3 linked regions of the Arabidopsis thaliana genome follow. The protein of the gene in region 1 interacts with the protein of each later gene in a pairwise test. Each region holds a gene or a part of one and is shown on either strand. Other genes may lie near its edges. The genes, in order: AT1G12650, AT5G22310 and AT2G46550.

Region 1 (7,824 bases):
CTTTTGTTTTCCTTTGATTTTTTTTTAACTCAGCTTTGTTTTCCTTTTATATCAATTGATTTCTTGTAGCAAAATATATTGAATAAAAAATTCGTTATTTTTTGTCGGCCAAAAAAAAATTCGTTATTTAAAAACTGAATTATACAAACTTGTTCATATCTTTTTTTATATAATAAAATATTATTAATCAACCCAAACTGGGAATGGGCTTTAAGCCCAAAGGATACACAGTTACAAAAAAAAAAGGAAAGTACTATAATTCATTAGTTTGTTTTAGTAATTAAATTTCAATAGTTAACCCAAATTATGAATGGGCTTTTGGCCCAGTCTTCAGATCCTTTTTTCACACATGAATTCTCCTAGTACCAACGCTTCTAGTTTTTCTTGGTACACTTGTTTGAGCATGAATCCACACATGCTGATACTCTTTCCACATCTGTCCATAACACAAACACCAACCAAAACCATTTAACGTTACAATCTCATTTCAACTATATATATATGGTCATCGATTTGTAAACACCGTTATGGGTAAGATTTACAATGTAAAAATTGTTTAGAAGAAGTATAAACTTACTCGGATTTTGGATGGAAGAAAGAGAAACACAATGATAAGTTGCACATCCGAGTTTGCAGAAATAATCAGATTCATCGATATTGTTTGAAGAAACAGATGGTGGAGAAGGTTGTTGAAGACATTCTTTGGTACACGTAAATGGACACTTAAGATACTTTGGAAACTTTGAACCAGCTTTACACTCCACAAGACAAGCTGGATAACATTCTTTAAATGGGATTTTTTGAGCCGCTGTCTGAGCCAGAAGGTTCCCTATCACCATCACTATCATTACTGCCACCAACATTGCATGTCACTCTTTTGCTCTCCATTTTTTTCTCTCTAGATGATATGCTTTTTTTTTTATGAAAGTGTTTTTTTGTAAGCTGTGAATGTTGCTTGGGTTATCATGTCTTGTTAAAATAGAGACTGTGTAAGTTTATATATTAGTTAACATTTCCAGATTCATCCACAAATCAGGCTGTAGTGCTTGTGTAATGATGACATAGTGGGAAATTAATATTTCTAGATTCCTTTCGTTTGGGATTTGGAGATCTGTTTAGTTATGATGACAAAATATACGTTAACATATATGTTTATGTATGTGCAGACTGTTTGTATATATTTGCTTACGTACATGAATTTGCTTTAGTTTCTTTTTGATATGTATCTATGTTCAAGCACTCCATATTAAAAATGGTGAAATGATCAACATGGCATCATATATTCATATAAGATCGTTGTATTAATTAGAATAATTGGAAGAAAAGAAATCAAACAATATTTTTTTTCTGCATCGAGTGAAGTACAAAATTAAACAGAATAAATGAACAAGTTTGTTTGATCTTTGAATATTTTTCGAGTAATCTTGGCATATAAAAACAAAGTTAGTTCTTAACATTATTAAATAAATATTATGATATATTGCAACATATATAGGTGATCTTATTTTGGATTCAGGATATTTTAGCATTCAAAAAATTGAACAAATGAAGTAACACATACGAATAGTAAAGTAGAACTGAACCATCTGAAAGGGCTAGAGTCTCTCATGTCTTAAGAGAACCAAGAGCAAACTAAGTAGCATTTGTACTGGATTATGGCTTTCAAGAGAAAATAAGAAGGTAACCAAACCTTAGAAAGATATATCAACGTTTTTTTTAGCTAACTAGACAGATATTCGTAAAACAAGATATTTTTGATCAGTTTTGATCTGATTAGGGTTACGTACATACGTAATGTCTCCATCGATCACGATCACATGTGACCATTCGGTTTCGAAGCGTAAGAATGTGTGCGTTGGTTCAATTTTGAATCATTTGGCAAATAAACATGCACATGATGTATTTTTAACTGTTTAACACATTATTTTGGTTAAATTTTCAAACTTATTTATTTTTGAATGATCAAAATTGTAAATTTTGTTACGGATAGGAATGAGATTCATCGAATAAGATTCAAGATGCATACCTTAAATTAAATACGTTGGTGAGTCTGCACAATATTATTATGAAACAATTCCTTTTCTTTATTAATGAAAGTCTCTTTATTTCAGATGGATGCCTCGATACCTATATATTTGCAATTGGCTTGCTCGTAACACAAAGCATATCAACTCAGGAAATAAATTCTCAGTGGAGAATATTTAATCGATACAAACTACGACACTATCTTCTAATTAGAGATTAATTTTCATAGACTAAAATCAATAGCGATTTTAGTTCTTGTGGGAGCACTCTTCTGAGCATGAATCCACGCATAATGAAACTTTCTCCACATGATCTGCCCATATATAAAACAAACAACCAAATCTAAGAAAATTAATTAGAATCCACACAATAAAATTATTTGAATGCTTAAAAACCATCAAACATTCTTACTAATAGCAGAATTACACCCAAAACAAAATCATCATTCTTACTCCAGAGAAATTTACATAATATCCTTAGACCCACAAGATTAAATTGTATATATATATGAACGTTATTGATACAAGAACTTGGAGAAAAAAAAACAAAAACAACAAACTTACCCTTATCATCAATTGAGGAGGATGAAACACAACGATCGGTAGCACATCCGAGTTCGCAGTAAGAACCAGTTTGGTCAATTTCATTTAGATTTGCCTCAAAAGAAAGCATAGGTCGACGTTTACAATCCTTGATACACAAAAAAGGACAAAAAAGTTTTTTAATCGGAGGCGCTATTAGAGCACACGCCACAAGACAACCTCCGTAACATAATTTAAAAGACATAACAGCCTCTGCCTCAATTAACATGTTCCCCATCACCAACATCATCACCACTAACATGGCCACTCTTTTGTCCTCCATTTTTTTTTGAAGGTACAAAGAGAGTTTTTTTTTGGGCAGAGAATATTAGAAATGTTGATGGAAAGTGTTTGTTAATTGTGATTGCTTGTTTGTGTAACTAAGGTTTATTTATATGGGATTGTGTAACTTTGTGTTATAGTTAACATTTTCATACAATGCATAAGTTGGTAATTAAATCTAATTCAATTCATTTAGAATCTAGAGATTCCATATTTAAAAAACAAATACAAAATATATTAAGAGATTTTTTTTATTGTATGTTACTATGTTTATGGCACAAAATCGCGCATTAACCTAGCATGTACATATTTGTTTGTACTTCGTCACTGTACATACATGAATGTACCTGACTTTAAGTGAATTAGATATGTCATATGTGTAAACATAGACATTCATGCATGTTAAAATAGTAATATATCTAAATGACATTCATCAATAAAATATATACTAGTATTTAACTATATATGACTCAAAGTATTAATGTTTATTTTGAATAAATTTTCAATCTAAAACTTCAATTAAAAAAAAAAAATCAACCTAAAATTTTGAAAAACAAACCAGGCTGTAGTATTTGTGTGATGATGACATAGTGAGAAATAAATTCTAGATGAGTTTCGTTTAGGATTTGTAGATCTGTCTAATTATGATGATAAAATATACGTTACCATTTATTTTAACGTATGTCTAACATGTGTATGTGTGTACACATAAATTGCTTGCTTACGTACATGAATGTGCTTTATTTCCTTTTTGATATTTGCGTCTATGTTCAAACACACTACATTAAAAATGGTGAAATGTAGCTGATAAAAAGGTTATTGAAAAATCGAATTAATTACTAGAAAAAATCTTATTTTAGATTCCGGATATTTCTTAACATAAATTAGTTAGTAATATTACGATATATATCGAAACTAGAGACCTTTTTTTGGATTCCGGATATTTTTCATTCAATCTTGAAAAGAACCAACAGTATGAATTATGAAACACTAAATGCTTAAAAACATTAAACAGTTGTAAGTAACATAAGAAAAGTAATGTAGATTTGAACCCTCTGAAAGGTCTAGAGTCTCTCATGTCTTCACAGAACCAACAGCAAACTAAGCAGCCTTTGTATTCGATTTGGCTTTCAATTGCAAAAACAAAATGTAAAGCTGCATTTGGCTTTCAAACCTCAAACATGAATTTTAGATCAGTATCACAAAGACCGCCACAAAATTTGTCATGGACCAAGGTAAGAGACAGGTCTTAAAGCAAAACTGCTTATCTCTATTCCTCTGCTCGACGATAGGGCATGAACCTATGATCCTTTGTTGCATTCTTCTTCCTCCGTTTGTCAAGATACGATGTAAGCTTCCCAGATTCCTGGATTGTACAAAAAGAACTGATTCAGTGATTCTGTTTCCATACAAACATTTAAAACTTTGGTAGTCAAAACTGATTTACATACCTTGAGACTGTTGTACTTTTCGATGAGTGTTTGCTTTCGGATTTCCGCTGCATAAGAAAAGAGAAAAGGATTCAGTAAATTGTAGGCAAAGAGAAACGCAAAACTGTAATGTTCAACCTAAACTTGGGACTTTTGAGTAAAAGACTCAGGAGACATACATTTTTTGAGATAGTAAGGCCTTTTTCCTTCTTTTGCGGCTTCTCGTTCTTTCTTTTTGTGTTCTGTTAGTATTGCTGCTCCTTTGTTCTGTGTTGATGGCTCATACTTCAACATTTTCTCCTGATATATATACAAATAACAGATTTAAAGGTGAGTAAACAAACTAATGATCAGAGAGTTACAACAGGAGAGGTAAAGAAAGGATCACTCACAACGTAAGTTAACTGGTTCTTCAATTCGTCGATTTCTTCTGGATTCTTTGTTTTCTTTAACTTCTTTTTCAATTCCTGTTTTAGGAACCCCAGAAAATCAAACAAAAAGCTTCGTGACAAATCGGAACCATATCGTTTTCAGCATTTAATAAATAATACCTCTCTTTCCACAGGAAGTTTGTCCTCAAAAAAGAAATTATATCGCTTCCTGAACCTACAGAAGATACAAAACTTACGTTCACTGAAACAAGAACAATGAGTGCATTATAAGTAATTTCAAGTTCACAAGACAAAGATGTTTATACCCCTCGACGTCAAGTGTTCCACCCAATTGGTTAAAGCGAGGATCACGAACCTCCTGAATCAAACAAACAAACTCTATTAACAACTCCAAAATAAAAAAACTTGGGAAGAAGAAATAAGAGATTCAAAATGTTCTCAATGCTAAGACTTATTACCTTCTTTGGAACGTGAACCACCTCTCTATAACGACTCACAGGTTTCTTAGAACTCACTTCCATTGGTCTGTTTTCATCACAAATAGAAACACCAAAGATTAACAAAGTAACCAACAACTGAAAGAAAGACAAAAACCAAGAACCAGAGAAAACAATGTTGTGTATACCTGTTTTTGTTAGCACGAGCACGACCTGTTTTCTTCACTTGATTTGGTTTCCATGGAACAGCTTTAGACCCATCAGCTCGTAATTTATGAATCTCCTCAAAGGTTAACTCTTTTTCTGTTTCTTCTTCCTAATTCCACATTCAAAAACAGATGCTTCAACAAACAATAATAATGTATTTAAGTTCCATACCTATTCTAAAGCTACTAACCTCATCTGAAGAAGACACAGATGAACACGAGAGATCTTCATCTTCTTCACTATCCTCAAAAACTATCTTACTTGAGCTCCCTTCAAACTTACCAGCTCCTTTCATGTCGACACGTGAACCTAATCAATAAAGATCACACCTTTAAGATGCAAATTTCCCAACATAAACAGAGTTACATACAGAAATCAAAATTTAAGCATGGCACAATCGAGAAACAAAAACCTAAAACAGAGTAAGAGTACCACAACCATAAACTTACTTGAACAGAGAAAATCTGTAGAATCAAGTAACGACGGCTAAAGAGGACAACGAACGGCGAAGAAACGAGAGAACTCACGAGAAGTAAAGAGATCGTAAGACCAGAAAAAAAGAGGAAATTAGGGTATTTAATTTAAACCGTTGGTTTTGCAATTTCAGTTGGTTTTAAAATACTGTACCGACCGGTTTATTACATGATACCTTTCGTTAACAAAGAAAGCCAACAACCACACGACACGACACCAACAACCACACGACACGACACGACCGATCTATAGATTCGGCGAGATCAGAAGAAAGCTTCCCGGAGCAACTCGGTCGTTGTGACTCATTCCGAGTTAAAAAAAACGGGTTTTCGACACCATGGATATGAGTTCAATGGCTGGTTCAATCGGAGTTTCGGTAGCCGTACTCCGATTCCTCCTCTGTTTCGTTGCCACGATCCCTGTTTCATTCGCTTGTCGAATCGTCCCGAGTAGACTCGGTAAACACTTGTATGCCGCTGCTTCAGGTGCTTTCCTCTCTTACCTCTCCTTTGGCTTCTCCTCCAACCTTCACTTCCTTGTTCCGATGACGATCGGATATGCTTCAATGGCGATTTATAGACCCAAGTGTGGAATCATCACTTTCTTCCTCGGTTTCGCTTATCTTATTGGCTGGTACTAAATTCTGAACCCTTTATGCTATGAATTAGTGCAGAAATCGTCTTCCTTCTGATTGACCCTGATTTAGTTATGGTGCAAATTCGTGATTTGTGTGTGTAGTCATGTGTTTTATATGAGTGGTGATGCGTGGAAAGAAGGAGGAATCGATTCTACTGGTAACTCTTACCTTCCTCATCTGAAAGTTGCTTCCTTTTGATTTGGATGCTCTTTGTTGTTCATGTGTAGTAATTGTGATTAGCTTCTTAACTTGCCCTTCTTGTTGTTCATGTGTTAGGAGCGTTAATGGTGTTGACGCTGAAAGTCATCTCATGTTCAATGAATTACAATGATGGGATGTTGAAGGAGGAAGGTCTACGTGAAGCTCAGAAGAAAAACAGATTGATTCAGATGCCGTCTTTGATTGAGTACTTTGGTTACTGCCTTTGTTGTGGTAGCCATTTTGCTGGTCCTGTTTATGAAATGAAAGATTATCTTGAATGGACCGAAGGGAAAGGGGTAAGCTTCTTCTTCTTCTTCTTGAGAGCTTTTATCATTATCAAGAATCTCTGAAGTTTTAATAGACTAGATTGTGAATATGTAAACTTTGTGCTTTCTAGATTTGGGATACTACTGAGAAAAGAAAGAAGCCATCGCCTTATGGAGCTACAATCCGAGCTATTTTGCAAGCTGCGATTTGCATGGCTCTGTATCTCTATTTAGTGCCTCAATATCCGTTAACTCGGTTCACAGAACCAGTGTATCAAGAATGGGGATTCTTGAGAAAATTTAGTTACCAATACATGGCTGGATTCACGGCTCGTTGGAAGTATTACTTCATCTGGTCAATTTCAGAGGCTTCTATTATCATCTCTGGTTTGGGTTTCAGTGGTTGGACTGATGATGCTTCACCAAAGCCCAAATGGGACCGTGCCAAGAACGTAGATATTCTCGGTGTTGAACTAGCTAAGAGCGCGGTTCAGATTCCACTTGTGTGGAACATACAAGTCAGCACGTGGCTCCGTCACTGTAAGTAGTCTTCTGATACTAATGAATCCTATAAAGCAGAAATTTCGGTTCATCTGTGAACTTATTCATGATGTTTAAAAATGCAGATGTGTATGAGAGACTTGTGCAGAACGGAAAGAAAGCGGGTTTCTTCCAGTTACTAGCTACACAAACCGTCAGCGCGGTTTGGCATGTGAGTTCTCTATTTTTTTTTTTCATGTTTTCAATTACTTCCAATGATGGAGGAACATACATTTGTATTTCTATTCTGATCTTTTCTTCTACCTCTAATGCAATTTGCAGGGACTGTATCCTGGATATATGATGTTCTTTGTTCAGTCAGCTTTGATGATCGCAGGCTCACGGGGTAAAT
Region 2 (7,852 bases), on another chromosome or scaffold:
GAGGCCTGAAGTGTTTAGCTTGAACATAAGGGAGCATCCGAGAAAAGCGGTCAGCTTCAAGACGTCAAAGGTAATGGAAGATGAATCCGTCTAACAAATGATCATTTGTTAGACCCAAACTTTCTCTGTAATTTGATGAAGTTTATCTGTAGTAAACTTCAAGACTTGTGTTGTAATTGAAATCGATAAAAAATCTAAACCGTTAGATTGAGTGTTGTCTTCTATTCCTCGTTTATACTATGCTTGGTTCTGCTCGTTCCATGTTCTTCAAATTTGTACATGAAACTAGTGATTCAATAACTTGTTAGGGATTAAGATGAGTCATTTTTACGAAAAAGATGAAAGAAAAACAAACCCAAATGGCCAAAACAAATAAGCTACCAATTCTCTCTACTCTTCCGCAACACAACACTCTCTATGGGTTTGGGCCTTGTTTCCTTATTTATTTCCCTGTCTCTTGGAATGGGCTTAGGCTTTTCTGTTTGTATCCACCCTGTGAAAACCTAAAACATTCATATAAATTGTTTTTTTTTGGTTTGGCATAGAGGATAAGCAACACATTCGTACCGAAACAAACCGAAATATGGAATTTTAAAAACTCTGTTTTATAGGTTTAAAAATTATGTAATCAAGTTCTGGGATAAAAATACGAAGTATATTAATATATAGGAAAACTCATATTTTTAACATTCAAAGTGTTATTTGGTAACACCAAAATCGAAACGAAAAGTCTGCCCATGTTTGAGACGATCTGTCCACTGACAGTTGATTTGCTAGTTGCTATATTAGTAACATCAATGTCTTCAAAATAGTGATTTTGTAGGTAGGTTCATTGTATATATCAATGTTTATTATACAGACAAAGGAGGAGACAAAGAGATAAACCACACACGAACTTGATAAGATCATCACTCTGACAAAATATCTCCCTATAATGCGAATGTTTTTAGCATTTGACCTTTCTCATTCAATGAGAGAAAATTAGTTAGCCTAGTGGCACTATATTATGCTTCAACTTTAGTAGTTTTATTTTGTTATACGAGTTAATGATTTATCCCTAAACTATGTAAAAGTATGAAACAAAAAAAGAAAGACAAACTTTTGGAACCCAAAACCCCTTGATTTGGTTTAATGGTACATATATATATGGTTCTAAGCTAAAATATTATATTGAGTGGGGGACATAGAGTAAGGCTGATTGGTATATGCATATATCTTTCACACGAATTGACCTATTACCTAATCATGTGTATATATGATCGAAAAATGAAGATCCGTTATTGTTCGTTATTGTTCATGTCATCTTATTAATTTTTGTAACTTTTTTGGTTGAATTGTTACCAAATATTCCCAAATAGGGTAAAACGTAACGGATATATAGTTGAGACAAAATCACATGGGAAGATGGAACGATGCTGTCCAAATGTCTAGACAATAATAGAGAAAATGTCTTGTTTCGTTTTTGATTCAAAATCTTAAACTAATCCTTTCTTGAATCAATTATATATCTCATTATTGTTCGTTCTTATTCTCATTGTTGTACTAATCATTATGATTTAATTTACACCAAATCAACGTTTCCATGTGTATATCTTCAATGCCACCAATAAATAAGTTCTTTAATAGTTATATACAATGTACAATTCACCTCCAATTCATTCCAAGCATGATTTGTTTGGTTTCCCCTTATTCTCTACATCTACATTATGGTCTAATTAGAGTTAGTTACAAACATAAAAACTCGTACGTAATGAATTGTTGTTCTCTAAAATAAGCACTTAAGTTCCGTAATAGACTTCAAATTCTGACAAATCACTTGATTACAAACTTGAAACTTCGATCATAAAAACGGAATATTTTGATAGAAAATGCAAATAATGATTTGATTGGATATGTGTAGTAAATTGAGGTTAAACCATTGTAGACGAAAAAATGTGATATACCGGCAAAAAATATTCCGTAATTGATTTTGTATTTCAAATTAAATTGAATAAATTACAAATACTGAAATATTATATACTATAAAAAAAAATGATTTCTTTTTCTTCCTCGCCGGCGCTAGCGGTGGTGATTACACAAACTCAGAGCTTGGTAAATTCCGATGATTCCACTGCTCTGACGATGAAGGACCAATACATCTAACATTTGAAACAATGTAATCTCTCAAAGTCTTCAAAGACTCATCTCTCTCACCATTCTCAACAATCACTGATCTCTTCTCCACCGGATCATCATCATCATCATCGCCGCCGGAGCCATCAAATCTCCGACGATCTTTCAGGCTATCAACATAACCCCATTTACTACCACTCTCCATGTTCAACTCAATGGACTTAAGATCACTCTCCTCATCATCATCAGAACCAGAACCATCAATCACCTCCAAAATCCTACGAATCTCCGACGACCCTTTTCCTTCTTCACCATCCAAAACCCGCCGGAGCTCCTTCTTCAGCCGCTCCACGGCGGCGTATTTATCTTCGAACTCAAACTTCGCCTCCGTAAGCTTCATTTGAACTCTCTCTTCCCTCAAAACATCAGCTATATGCATCATCTCTCTCTCTTTCTCCATCTCCTTCTTATCATCTCCGATTCCTTTAGTTAGCTCATCACAAACCTCTTCAAGAACATCTTTAGCTCTCTTCTCTCTTTTCATCTCCTCCTTCATCTTCCTCTCTGTTTCTTTAGCCTCCGTGAGCTCTCTCCCTAATCTTCTATTCATCTTCTCTGTTCTTCGCCGGAGTTTTCTCTCAACCATCGCCTCTTCTTGTAGACTCTCTATCAACCTCCGCTTCTCCTCTTCCTCTTCATCTAATTCACTCATTAGATGCTTTAGTGAAGATCTTGCTCTGTCTAGTTCACATAACAAAGCAGAGATCAAACGATTGCTTGCTGTCTTGTGATCATCTCCGAGCTCACCGATCCTTTTTAATACCTTTACCAGTTCTTTAGACGTTGTTAATCCGTCACTGACATTCTTGAAACGAGTTTTCACCTGTAATATAATTAAGAATCAGACCTTTCTTCTTCCGCAAGAAAAGTGTTTTTAGGGTAAGATTGCAAATCATACCGAGTTTGCGCCAATGATTTTGTATTCAATTGGGTTTAATTTCTGAGGATTTGTTGATCTTCTACGAATCATATCGTCACAGAGATCGATTCTCTGTGCAATTTTGATTTTTCAGACTTAGAATTTCAGAAAGAAAAAAAACACAGAGGAAACTTGAAACTGAAGCAAACCCTAACCTCTGAGCTTAGACGAGAAATCGGATCGGATGATCGTGGCGGGAAATCAATGGAAGAGAACTCTGTTGATTTCTTCGCTCTGTATCTCGATGGTTTCTTGCTTCTCAAGCAATCTTTATCAGAATTTACCGGAGGGTCTGCGTCGTCGTTGATTTCCCACAGCGTCGCAGCTAGCTTTCTCGCCGACACGCAGCTTTTCTGCAATTGATGATGATCTATAGGAAGATTTTCCGGCGAAAACGATAACAGAACTGGAGTTTTAGCGGCGGTGATGGACTTAACAGGAGTTCCTGAGCCACCGTCGTCTTGAGCGGCTCTTTTCCCGGCGAAAATTGCACGTTTGAAGCGGTTTCGACGAGCAAGTGAAGAAGAAGAAGAGGAAGAACCACCTCTCTTCCTGATCTTACAACCTTTCTTCCGTTGTTCCATAGTTGATATTCAAAACAACAAATCAGAACACAAAATTTTACCAAATCTTGCCGGAAAACAAGAGAAAAAAATAGGATTGAAATTGGTGCTTTTTAGGAGAAGTGAGTCATCTTCTAAGATCAGAAGCAGTTTCTGGAAGATTTTGTTTTTGAATCTCTAAATAGACTTTAAAGTGAGTGAAAGAGAAAGATAATACAAAAAGTGAAAGTTAAGATGATGTTTTTACTTCTTCTTAAAAGCAAAAGAAGAGAAGAGTAATAAGATTCTTGATCCCTTTGAAGACGTTGTGATTTGTGAAAAAGAAGTTTTGAATCTGGGAAATTGTGTTTTATTTTCTTGGGAGAAGAGAGATGTTGAAGAAGAGGAAAGAAAGATGGAGACAGTGTGGTGTTTTTGTGTTTGTGCGTTGTCTATTTGGGCAATGTAAATTTTCTTTGGAGGGTTCATGAACCGATGTTGTCCAATTTCGTCATTAATTTTAACAAAAATAATTTCATAATCAATGAGTACAAATATTGTTGCCGCTAACTCATTAATGCAACAATGACTTGCAAAAAGATATCATGGAATCCATGTTTCCAAATTAGTGCTTTCTAAAGAGTTTAGAATCTTTAGACCACAAGTTAACCTGGTTTGATCGGATTAGACAGGATTCTATTAAGTTTTTGTAGGCTTTTCTGGAGAAGAAAAAAAGAAGAGCATCAAATAAAGACAACGTACTAGATTATCAAAACTAGCATTAACCTCTATGCTAACGTCAAAAGCTAACATGTGTTTTCTAGAACTTGCCAAAAGTCGAACAGAACACGGGTTTAGGTCACAATTTAACCTCGTTTGATCGGATTAAGACCCGACTCATTTCGTTTTTGATTAGTATTTTTTTTTTGGGAAATAATATGAACGTCAAAAGAGTTAAAGACAACGTACTACGTACTACTATAAAGTAGCATTGTTTTCAACAAACATGAATATGGGTGACATATTTTGAAATAAATGAATATGCATAGACAAGGCAAGATACATGAGCCAAGAAAGTATACTCCTTTTTTCTTATGTTTTAGGAAAAAAAATTGTATTGAATTAGATGATGTTTTTTTATTTTTAATGCAAAATTGATTAGTTTTTATTGATTTTGACGATTTATATCATGCAGATTGTTCAATTATGATTGAATAGTGTTTAGAAAGATAATATATAGTATTTTTGTTTAAATGCGAATATTTGTTATACACAATCCAAAAACACAAACAGAAATATAATTATTATAAATCATTTTCGTTTAGGATTGAATAGTTCTTCATTTTATGTTTTAGGATTGTGTTTATAAACTTATGGCTTTTGTCTAGAGAGGTAGGTATTAAGATCAATACACTAAAATTTTACAGACAGTTGTTATAAGTTATTGGAATTGTCGCACATCGAAACTTTGACAATTTTGACACTAATATATATAGTAGATGTTCAATCATTGCTAAAAATCTCTCATTAAACAATCATAGTTACACAATGAATACATGGTTTTAGATTTTTGGATTCATAAAAAAAAATATTGCTGCTCTAAAACATATAGGATTTTTTGAATGTAAATCAGACATAAAATTTCCTAGATGCCTTAACGATTACTACTATCCAATCATAATTCACAACTCAAAACCAATGATTGTCTCTATACTAATTTGAACACAAGTTTTGTGATTGGCATATGAATTATGAAAGACAGGCACATGCTGAGTACAAATAATAGTAAATACTTATGGAACATCCCAAAGAGATAGATGCCTTCTCTGCCAGTCAAATCAAATCCATCCTCCAGATTCTTTTAACTCCATTACAAATAATTTAACATATTACTAATTTAAAAATAAATTAATACGAGTAAAAAAGAATTTTAAAATGTGTGAAGACTAGAGAAGTGCCACGATGATAGAAGAAAAATACAACATAGATGAACGGTTCAGATTAAAAAGAGTTCTAGTCTGTTTCTCTTTTATTCCTTTGAGTCTTTGACTACTACTCACATATCACATGGAGAATTTGACAAAAATGTCATATCACTATACTTTTATTCAATATACTAACTACTCTTGCAGCAGCAATCTAAACTCTACTTTAAAAACGACGTTCTTTTTTGTCAAATAAGCTAAACTAAAAAAATATCGTTTACAATATACAATACATACTATGGGTAATTACATACATTCAATACGGGTAGATACGGACATTTTGAACTAGCAAATCGGTTTTAACATTAGCATTACAAAACAAACATAGGAAACAAAAGAAGATGACAAAAATTTCTAACTCTTCTCTACGTCTTCATAATATATCACAAATGTAGACCACATTTACACCTAATCGGAATAGTCTGCACTAAAATTAATTTAGTTTTCTTTTCTGAAATCAAAATTCAAACTTCTCATTGTCCAAACTAGTGTTTCCACATTTTTCCTAGCATTTAGCTTGTATCATTTTATTTCTCTTTTTTATTACACACTAGAAACTAACACAATAAAAATAACAAATATTAAAGCGTGAATAGAATGGTCCCATGGTCTAGTGGTCAGGACATTGGACTCTGAATCCAGTAACCCGAGTTCAAGTCTCGGTGGGACCTATTCTCCTTTTTTTGTTTTGGTTTCAATGACACAAACATTTTATAAAATTAGATATAGCTTCTCAACAGTGCAGAAAACAATTTATAAAGAAGATCGAAACCACTTTCTTCCTCTCCTATGTTCTTTAACCATATCAAAATACTCCCTAGCCGTTGGATGTTACAGACATAACTGTCCCTTCTTTTAAAGAGTAAAACACTCCCTCTGTTGCAGTTTACTCCCACTTAGACTCTCCTCCTAACCCGATCTCAACCTCCATGGGAAGATCAATCACTACACTCTTGCTTTGCTTCTTTTCACTCTTCTTCTTCTTCTTGTTAGCTTTAGTATCTATCACTTTTACTAAACCTGTCTCTTGGACGCTGCTTTTCTTCTTCTTCTCAATACCGTCTTCAGAACCCTTTGGCACATTTTCCCGGGAAAAGATTTCTGCGAAAGAGGTTTCAGCATCATCTATAGCATCGAGTTCCTCCTTTGGAGTAGCCCTTTTCTGTTTCTTCTCAGCATCATCATCATCATCATTGTTACTTGGGATTGTCTTCTCTTTATGTTCTTCTTTCTTTTTTGTTTCAACTTGATCTACATTTGTGTTGCTCTTAGACTTCTTCTTCTTGCTTTTGTGATCCTCATTGTTGACTTCTTCTTCTTCTGACTTATTTCTCTTAGAGCTCTTCTTGCGTTTTCGATCTTCTTTAGATTGTTCCTCTTCTGCTGATTTATTGTGATAGGCATCAAAGGTTTCATCATCGGTATCAAGCCGAATATGCTTTGCATTCCTTGAGCTTTTTTCTAAGGGTTGAGCGTTGAATACATTCACTGAAGGGAGAAGCAACGTTCTCACCTGCGACATCAAAACAATTTTCCTCATTCTTATACGATTTCTTCACGCAGTTACACTAATCACAATGGAAAAAAGAAGTAGAAAAAGTTGTTTTACCTTCTTAGCTGACTTATCGTTATCAGAAATCGGGTTTCCTCGAATATTCAGATTTCGCAAGCAAGATAGTGTACCCAAAACCTATCATTTGGGAGCACACAAATTTGATGGTTTATTACACGATCACCACAAAAACTTGCCACAAGCTAGGGAAGGCTAACAAATTTGCTTTCACCTATATGAATTAGACTATACCTCTAAACCAGAGAGTTGCGTAATCACATTGTTTCCCACATCCAAATTGAGTAGTCTTTTGTTGACTGCTAGTTCTGCTGGGAGAGCCTGAACAGTTAAGCGTAAATGAAATAACGATTAGCAATATAAACAAAAGATTGTGAGAAGAGGCAGGTTTGTTCTGTAGATTGCATAAATGTAAGAAAGATCACCTTGATTTCATTGTTCGCGAGCCGCAGCTCTTTCAAATCAGAGCATGACTTGAGAGAAGAGCCAATAGCTTTTATTCTGCAGTCAGACAAAGAAATCTGAAACCGAGATGGGATTAGACAAGGATCAGTTTAGTTGTGATTCCGAAACGGGAGGAAAACAAGAGCTTACTTTGGAGAGGTTTTTCAACTTTGAAAGTGAGTCACCTATTTCACTGATTGGGTTCCTAGAAAGAACTGCA
Region 3 (7,886 bases), on another chromosome or scaffold:
TGATTCTTCCCAAAATCAGTCAGACTATATCTGGTCAGATGCTGACTGGCCACATAATGGTTGGGCTAACTCTGAGTCAACTCCCGTTCCAACATGTGTTTCACTCGGTGTTGGTCTTGGGGATAAGAAAGGAGCACACCTTGGGTTAGGTGGGGCCACTGTTGGAGTTGTTTCTCTTTCCAAGCCTGGGAAAGCTGACAGAGTTCCTGGCTACTCTGGGTTAGGAGCGATAGCGGATCCAGGATCATTTTTTACCCAGGTCACACATAGCTAAAAAAAAAAAATTGATAAGCCAAATGTATATTTTCTCATAACATTAAATAAAATTCACGTAGATCCGCCGGTGGTTAGGAGTCTCTGGTCTAGGTTGGGAAACTCAAGAAGAATTTGAAGAGTTTGTTGATCCTCCCCCAACAGTTGAAAGTGTTATTACGAGAGCATTCTCTAATCACCCGACAATGCCCCTCTTCTTGGTTGGCTCAAGCAACACTCACATATACTTGTGGGAGGTTTGTGCCTAAACACTTGCACCATCTGTTTTAGGAGTTCGGAGTAAATGATATGACATTTCTTATCTATCCTTGTGGATCTTATAATGCAAACCTTGCATGTTACAGTTTGGAAACGAAAGAGCTACTGCAACTTATGGTGTTCTTCCTGCTGCAAATGTTTCCCCTCCTTATGCTTTGGCGTCGATATCAGCAGTGCAATTCGGTCCATTCGGACACAGATTTGCTAGCGCTGCACTGGATGGAACTGTATGCACTTGGCAATCAGAAGTTGGAGGAAGGAGCAATATTCATCCTGTTGAATCATCTCTTTGCTTCAATGGCCATGCATCGTACGTTTCATGATCCTTGAGTCTATAAGTTCTTGTTCACTAATATGCTAAAAACACATAAGTTTTAAATTATTGCTGTCAGTCATGAAAATTACCATTATTTCTCTGTTTCTTGTTCTATTGGCTTCAGCTATTCTGTTTCTGTTATTTATGGTTGCAGAGATGTAGGATATATTAGTTCGAGTGGATCCATTGTTGCAGCTTCAGGATATAGCTCAAGTGGTGCAAATGTCGTTGTGTGGGATACTCTAGCTCCCCCTTCAACCTCCCAGGCATCTATCAATTGCCATGAAGGTCCTCCAATAATTTTTTTTGTAGAAGTGTTAGTATCATTTCCCATAATCACAACTCTTAACAAGTTTTTTTTTTGTTTTGTCCCTTTTCTTCTATGAAGGTGGTGCACGCTCTATCTCGGTATTTGATAATGACATTGGTAGTGGTTCAATTTCTCCTATGATTGTGACTGGTGGCAAAAATGGTGATGTCGGTTTGCACGATTTCCGGTTTATTGCAACCGGAAAGATGAAGAAGCAAAGGAACCCTGACGGTGGATCTTCGACTGATGGAGATCAAAACAAGAATGGGATGCTTTGGTATATACCAAAGGCTCACTTAGGTGCACACCCTAAAGCCTATTTTCACCTTCATATTCCAATTTTACCGGAAAAATATCCTGAAATTTGATTGACATTGATGCAAATTTCAGGGAGTGTGACAAAAATAGCGACAATCCCACGCACAAGTCTTTTCTTGACGGGAAGCAAAGACGGAGAAGTAAAACTTTGGGATGCGAAAGCTGCAAAGTTGATTCATCATTGGCCTAAACTACACGAAAGACACACTTTTCTGCAGCCAAACTCGAGAGGCTACGGTGGAATCATCCGGGTTAGTGAACCAAATCACCTAAAGCATAATCCTTTCATCGTATTTTCTCACAGTGGCTTTGGTTTCTTAGTAAACCAGAATCAAAGTAATGTCGGTGTATGTAATCGAATTTGGGTATGTGTTACGAATTTGGTGTAGGCTGGGGTGACTGACATACAAGTTTGTCCGAATGGATTTATAACGTGTGGTGGTGATGGCACGGTGAAGTTCGTCAGCCTCGTAGATTCTTCCTATGGCGATGCTAAATAAAAAGAAGATACATTTTCCGGGAAAGTTTTGCAGTCGAGAAAACGAGTTATTGCTACCTTGCGTGTGTTTATTGAATACGTGATTTTTTGTGATGTAGTTTTTTTCTCTATATGGTTTAATATTTGTGTATATACAAATATATTAAAGATTATGAAGCAGTAGAATCTTGAGTTGACCATAATCCAGATTTTAATTTATCTTTGACTTGACTTCAATCTATACTCGGAAATATCATCTATTTATCTTTGACATAGTTTTCGTTGACTTTGTTGCATCAGATTTAGACCAGATTAAATCGGACTGATTCCAATTAGATTGGTGTTAAGTGTAGTGCAATAGAACCGAAAATAAACATTATCAAGATTTAGTTCGTTATTGTAATTTTTTTTCTTTCTTTTTGGTGTTGGTTTGGTATTAGCTCGATATAGTTTAATAAGATTATGAAAAATTGACGGCTAGGAACCTGGCCACTATCGTATTACGTAGTGGAATATTATCTTATGGTTGATTATTAAACTGCTCCATAATTTGTGTTGTAGTCTTGTAGACGAAATGATATGAATCATCAAAATGTTTGATTAAAACCCCATTTGCCAAGAATTATTCCTAAAACTATTAAGTTAAGGCAAAGGTCCATTTCATTAATAATTATTCTAAAGAAGTTAGTTGTATATATAGTATATATATAGACTATGGTGTTAATTATGACTGAATATATTAGTGCTCACATAAAGCATCTTATTAGAATATCTTAGATTGCTTAAATAATTATTAACCACGTAATAAATAAATCTCATGTAACACTATCAATTGGAGAATAATGGAGAGAGACAATTAACCATAATGACTTGAAGACACTTGGCTTCACCTAACATTCAATTTCCTAGACGAGGCCACTATTTACATTCTCTTTACCTAACTTTCAGAACTACATTAAACCAAATTGACATGTAAAAAACCTAATTTTATATTTTCAACATGTCTATTTACCATTGGCCACTTTATTACTTAAATGAAAACGATGTCATAAAAAATATTAGTAGACCCTAACTTGAAATTTAAAATTTAATCGATCATTTAAAAATCAAAATCATTCGACGCAATTACTACAAGATTTTTATGTTTTAACCAAACATTTATGACGTAATCTACCATCGCGCGTAATCGTATAGTGATAACTGATAAGATAAAAGGTCTTATCCGTTAAAAAAGGAAAGGGAAGCCTTTTTTAGATCTTCTTTTTTGTCGCCACGTGTAATTAATATCTAATCGAACGGCTGTCAGGTGAAATCTATGGGCAAATCTGTGGACTCAAATACTCATTAACATAACTATGGGTCCTCTCAGAAAACGGTGCCGTTTTGCGGAAGCTTGCGTGCTGAATGACACAGAGACTAAGAAAACGATAATAAACTGCAAAATGATTCAAAAGATTTTAATCGAAAGCAAACAAAAATTCTCTGACAATCAGAAAACAAAAAAAAATCAGAACAACTCTTATCTTCTTCACGAGACTGACTAAACAATCATAGATTTTTCCGTTTTTTGGGTTTCGTCTGGTGTTACTCTCTCCTTCTGGTTAGTTCTTTTTTTCCGAATTCTTACAAATTATTGCGGTTTCATTAAGATGAATTATGATTTGGATCACCATCCGTTGTTTTTGTGTCCGGTTTTGATTCTTAGGTCTAATCGCGTTTCATGTTTTTTTTTTGTGTTCTTCTGGGTTTGATAATTTTATAGTTGAAGTTTTATGAAATTTGATTTCAATTGCAAATAATGATGATTTGTTTAGTAAGTTGATAAATTGACAAAGAATCTGGCTTTGGTTTTTGTTTGCTTCTAAGAAAATTAGGAACTAATTCTTCAATTTACCTGGAAAGCAAAACATATCAGATTCTCTAAAAAGTAGTTTTGTAATAAGCTTTTTTGGTGATGGATCTGTCGGCAATCAGAAAGATTCTTCCTTTGAAATAAATGATTCATATTATTTTTCCTATAAATAGATTCAAAACGGTTAATAAGATTTTGCTAAATCTACCTAATTTCTAAATCACATTGATCTTGAATTGAATTCTCAGTCTCTTGTCTTATCTTTAGAGTTATGGTGAAATAATGGCAGCAGCTGAAGCAAGAGCAGTGTGGCAAAGAACAGTTAATCGTTGCTTTGTCCAAGAAGACGCTAAAAGAGCTCCCAAGTTAACTTATTGCCAATCATCTTCATCCTCAACTGCTTCTTCAACTAAGCAAGTGGAAGTTTCTGGTTCTTCTCCTCGAGTTTCTGTTGAACCACGGACTCAATCATCTTGTGCAGGTTTCATGCCTCTTCCTCGAAACCCGAATTTCCCTGATCTGTTACCCCACAACACCAGACTGTGGAGTCATCCTCATCATCAGTTTCAGGTGAATAAGAAGCAGCCATTGGAGGATGAGGTTAACAATCAAGGTGTATCTGAGAAGAAGTCTGAATTGGGAGCTGGAGAGAAACAAGGAAAGTCTTTTAATTCCGAAAGCTTTCAAGAGTTTATAGAGTTGATGGAGACAAGGGAGAGTTATGGTTCAACTGGGTATGATGAGTCCTCTGAGAAAAAGTTAAGTGAGCTCTCTTTTGATCCTAGCTCGCCGTGGAATCTTCTCTCGAGTGAGAAAGCTGCACCGTGGTGGCGAACTACGGATAAAGACGAGTTAGCTTCCTTGGTTGCACAAAGATCTCTAGACTATGTTGAGAATTGTGATTTACCAACACCGCAGAAGATGAAACGATCTTATTATGGTAGTCCACGTGGTTTTGATTCTGATGGATTGAGAGACTACTCTGTCTCTGGCCAAACCATCAAGGGTACAAGCAAAGGAAGCAGCTGCAAGAACAGACCCGAGGCTTCATCTGAGTCTGATTTAAGCAAATCCGAGCTTCTAGAAGCACTGAGGCGTTCGCAAACGCGGGCTAGGGAAGCGGAGAATATGGCTAAAGAAGCTTATGCAGAGAAAGAGCACTTGGTGAAGATATTGTTGAAGCAAGCCGCAGAGCTTTTTGGGTATAAGCAATGGTTACAACTGCTTCAGCTAGAAGCACTTTACCTCCAAATCAAGAACAAGGAGATTGACAATAAGAACAACGACGATCCAGGGGTTTCCATCCCTTGTTGGAGCAATGGCAAAGCAAGAAAAGAGGGGAGAAAGAGAAGAAGCAAAAGGGGTAAACCGAATGGAGCAAAGTACGCGGTTGGTTTAGCATTGGGGATGAGTCTTGTTGGTGCTGGTTTGCTTCTTGGATGGACTGTTGGATGGATGCAGATGCTATCGTTCTAGTTTAAAGAGAAGAAAAGAGACAAAACTTCATCTTTTTTCTCATTGAACAGCTTGATGATGTTGAAATGAGTTAAAAGATTGGCTTCGAATCAGCTTTTGGATTTCGTTAAGGAGAGAATGTAAATTGTTGTAAGAATTTTGTTAATATTGTGTTTACTAGTTTGATCTTTTCCTTCAAAAATCATATGAAATTATCTTCTTTAATGTGTAAGTAAGTATCTTTCATGTTCATGTAATATCTGCATATATTAACTACTGTACAGTGTATATGATCTTTCTTTCATGTTCCTAGAGCTTCGATTTCTTGAAAATTTAAAATACTTAGTAATTTTTTACTGCTGGAAGCAGAATGAGAAAGAGAAAGATATACAGTATATATATTTTTTAATTACGGCAAAGGTGATTATAATGGGCCGAATTGCGAACATTTGGGCCCAGTAACCCGACCCGACCGGAGATGATCTTTAATTTCGTTTCAGGTGAGAAAATGGTTTACTCAGGAGCAACTATCAATCGAATCAGACATTGACGAGGAGCTTTGGTCGTAATCCGAGGAAGAGATTAAAATCGGAAAGTGCGAAAATGCCGGTCATGGAGAAATTGAGGATGTTCGTGGCGCAGGAACCAGTTGTGGCTGCTTCTTGCTTAATCGGCGGTGTTGGTATGAACCCTAATCTCAATCTTAATTCCTCACCGATCGATCGCATTCTCTTTCTTAGAAAAGGATTTGCTTTGGGATTTATCTAGTTTCTGGAATTCCTCTTTGAATCTATAGAGCTAGTTTGCTCGATTGTAATTTGAGAATATAGAGAAATGCCTGATCCAAATCTCTCTATTCGGAATCGTCATTTCTTTGGGTTGTCAAAGAGAGTGTATTTTAAGGAGTTGAAATTAAGCTTAATTTGGAACCATGTCTTCCATTATCTCCATGTATAAGTAGCAAAAGATTATGTCTTTCTTGAACATTAGCAAAAGGCAATTGTGTTAATATACATTTGCTGATGGATTCTCTTCATCTTGTAGGACTATTTTTGCCTGCGGTTGTGAGGCCTATTCTAGACTCTCTCGAGGCTTCCAAACAAGTTAAAGCTCCTCCACTTACCGATGTATGTATTAGAATATATTTATCTCTGTGGAAATTCCTTTTGCTGCTAAAATCGTCATCTATTTCCTATCTAATGAAATGTCTCTGATGTGGGAACTCTGCATGATAGTTGTTCTTAGTATCCGTGTAGGCGAATGTTTGGACGTTTCTTTTTTTTGCTATGTGATGTAGCCTATACATCATCTCGATGTTTTGTTCCTCCTGCGTCTTCTTGTGATTTGAGAGTTCCATCTTTGGTTCATCCATGCCTTAAAAATCTATGCTTTTCATCATTGGACGAGTGTCATGATCACATTTTGTTACTGCCAAAAATGGATTGGGCATAAAAGAGACTAGTTAGTTATCACATTGCTTAGTTATCCAACGCTTTCCTATATACTCTTTACAGGCAAACAAAGGCGTCAAGTATTAACTCAGATCCAATTTGCTTTTGCAGGTGATTGCTGGTGTCACAGGGAAGAAACAGAGTTAAAACAAGCAATGACTTCCCCTGTTTTCTTACATTCAGATGATCCCTATTCCTTTTTTGTCTTTTACTCTCTCTATTCACAATGAATAAGCCAGACTCATTTGTTTGTTATGAAACTTAATATAAAGGCATGTGTGTACACTCACTTTTGTTCATCACTTGATCAGATGTATTCATTTCTTAACAACAAATGAAAAAAGCTTGAAACTTTTCTTGCCATGGCTCATGAGTCTTAACAACATTATATATGCATATCACACAGATATTAAATTACAGTAAAATTGCTAATCTTACATACACTCTTAATAGCTCTTTTTCATCATCTTGATCCCTCAATAGATAGATAGATAATGCATATTGAAAACAGGCTTAAACACTTCCACTTCTCATCTTCTTGTTCTTCCATGGCATTGCTAGCTTCAATCCCTTGCATAAACTTCCCTGCATTTCCCCAACCAAACCCGTTTCAGCGAAAGACAAGACTTGGGAAGATGAAGAAGTTATGAAGAAGGAGCGGAGAAACACAAATACTTTACCCAAAAGTGAGATCCTTTAACAGAACCACCACCATGGTAACTCCCTGATCTGTTAAACTTCATGATCTTCATGTTGTTCTCGTTGATATTATCTCCTGCTCTCTGATTCTCCGACAGAAAGACATAATTACCCCTCACAACAACATCCCCTCTCCCTTTCCTCCTCAAGAACCTCAAGAGCCCATGTTTCCTCTCGGGCAAGGGCATTTGCGTGAACTCACCAGGAAGGAGCAAACGAGGTGGCAAATCAAGACACTTGGGGTAAGAAAGAGGACGAAGAGGGTGCTTGGGCTTGCCTGGTTGGTCTTCCCAACAAAACGGAACAGAGGCAAGAGTGTGAATCGGAGAAGCAAACACACGTGGACTCGCAGGCGATGAAGTGTACAACAACGATCTTGACTTTGCAGCTAACACAAGTGCAAGCTTCGCCTTCTCTTCTTCCTTGTCTCCTCTCATTTTTATGTCTTCTCTGTTTCTTTCTTTCTTCTTCTTCAG

Evidence for each region.
Region 2: the proteins of AT1G12650 (region 1) and AT5G22310 interact in a two-hybrid assay, tested with the Arabidopsis thaliana proteins (one large-scale study listed by BioGRID).
Region 3: the proteins of AT1G12650 (region 1) and AT2G46550 interact in a two-hybrid assay, tested with the Arabidopsis thaliana proteins (one large-scale study listed by BioGRID).

Annotation. Positions count from the first base shown.
Region 1 is NC_003070.9:4,304,008-4,311,831, reverse strand, and holds AT1G12650 (rRNA biogenesis RRP36-like protein), read right to left. Parts: upstream 6,042-7,824; 5' UTR 5,804-6,041; intron 5,774-5,803; exon of another isoform or gene 5,664-5,773; 5' UTR 5,650-5,663; coding exon 5,545-5,649; intron 5,464-5,544; coding exon 5,336-5,463; intron 5,236-5,335; coding exon 5,169-5,235; intron 5,069-5,168; coding exon 5,016-5,068; intron 4,925-5,015; coding exon 4,870-4,924; intron 4,786-4,869; coding exon 4,711-4,785; intron 4,619-4,710; coding exon 4,498-4,618; intron 4,387-4,497; coding exon 4,340-4,386; intron 4,255-4,339; coding exon 4,159-4,254; 3' UTR 3,825-4,158; downstream 1-3,824. Other genes in the region: AT1G12663 (thionin-like protein), read right to left, coding at 375-436, 578-863; AT1G12660 (thionin-like protein), read right to left, coding at 2,274-2,338, 2,589-2,889; LPLAT1 (MBOAT (membrane bound O-acyl transferase) family protein), read left to right, coding at 6,166-6,461, 6,567-6,622, 6,742-6,962, 7,064-7,472, 7,559-7,644, 7,755-7,818.
Region 2 is NC_003076.8:7,381,671-7,389,522, forward strand, and holds AT5G22310 (trichohyalin-like protein), read right to left. Parts: upstream 4,164-7,852; 5' UTR 3,676-4,163; coding exon 3,247-3,675; intron 3,164-3,246; coding exon 3,071-3,163; intron 2,996-3,070; coding exon 2,072-2,995; 3' UTR 1,913-2,071; downstream 1-1,912. Other genes in the region: NIT4 (nitrilase 4), read left to right, coding at 1-94; AT5G22320 (Leucine-rich repeat (LRR) family protein), read right to left, coding at 6,505-7,131, 7,228-7,308, 7,423-7,509, 7,614-7,709, 7,783-7,847.
Region 3 is NC_003071.7:19,109,659-19,117,544, reverse strand, and holds AT2G46550 (uncharacterized protein), read left to right. Parts: upstream 1-3,338; 5' UTR 3,339-3,553; intron 3,554-4,072; 5' UTR 4,073-4,087; coding exon 4,088-5,281; 3' UTR 5,282-5,584; downstream 5,585-7,886. Other genes in the region: AT2G46560 (transducin family protein / WD-40 repeat family protein), read left to right, coding at 1-259, 336-509, 618-841, 1,002-1,135, 1,236-1,457, 1,548-1,726, 1,865-1,975; AT2G46540 (fiber), read left to right, coding at 5,864-5,942, 6,305-6,387, 6,823-6,858; AT2G46535 (uncharacterized protein), read right to left, coding at 7,225-7,296, 7,392-7,847.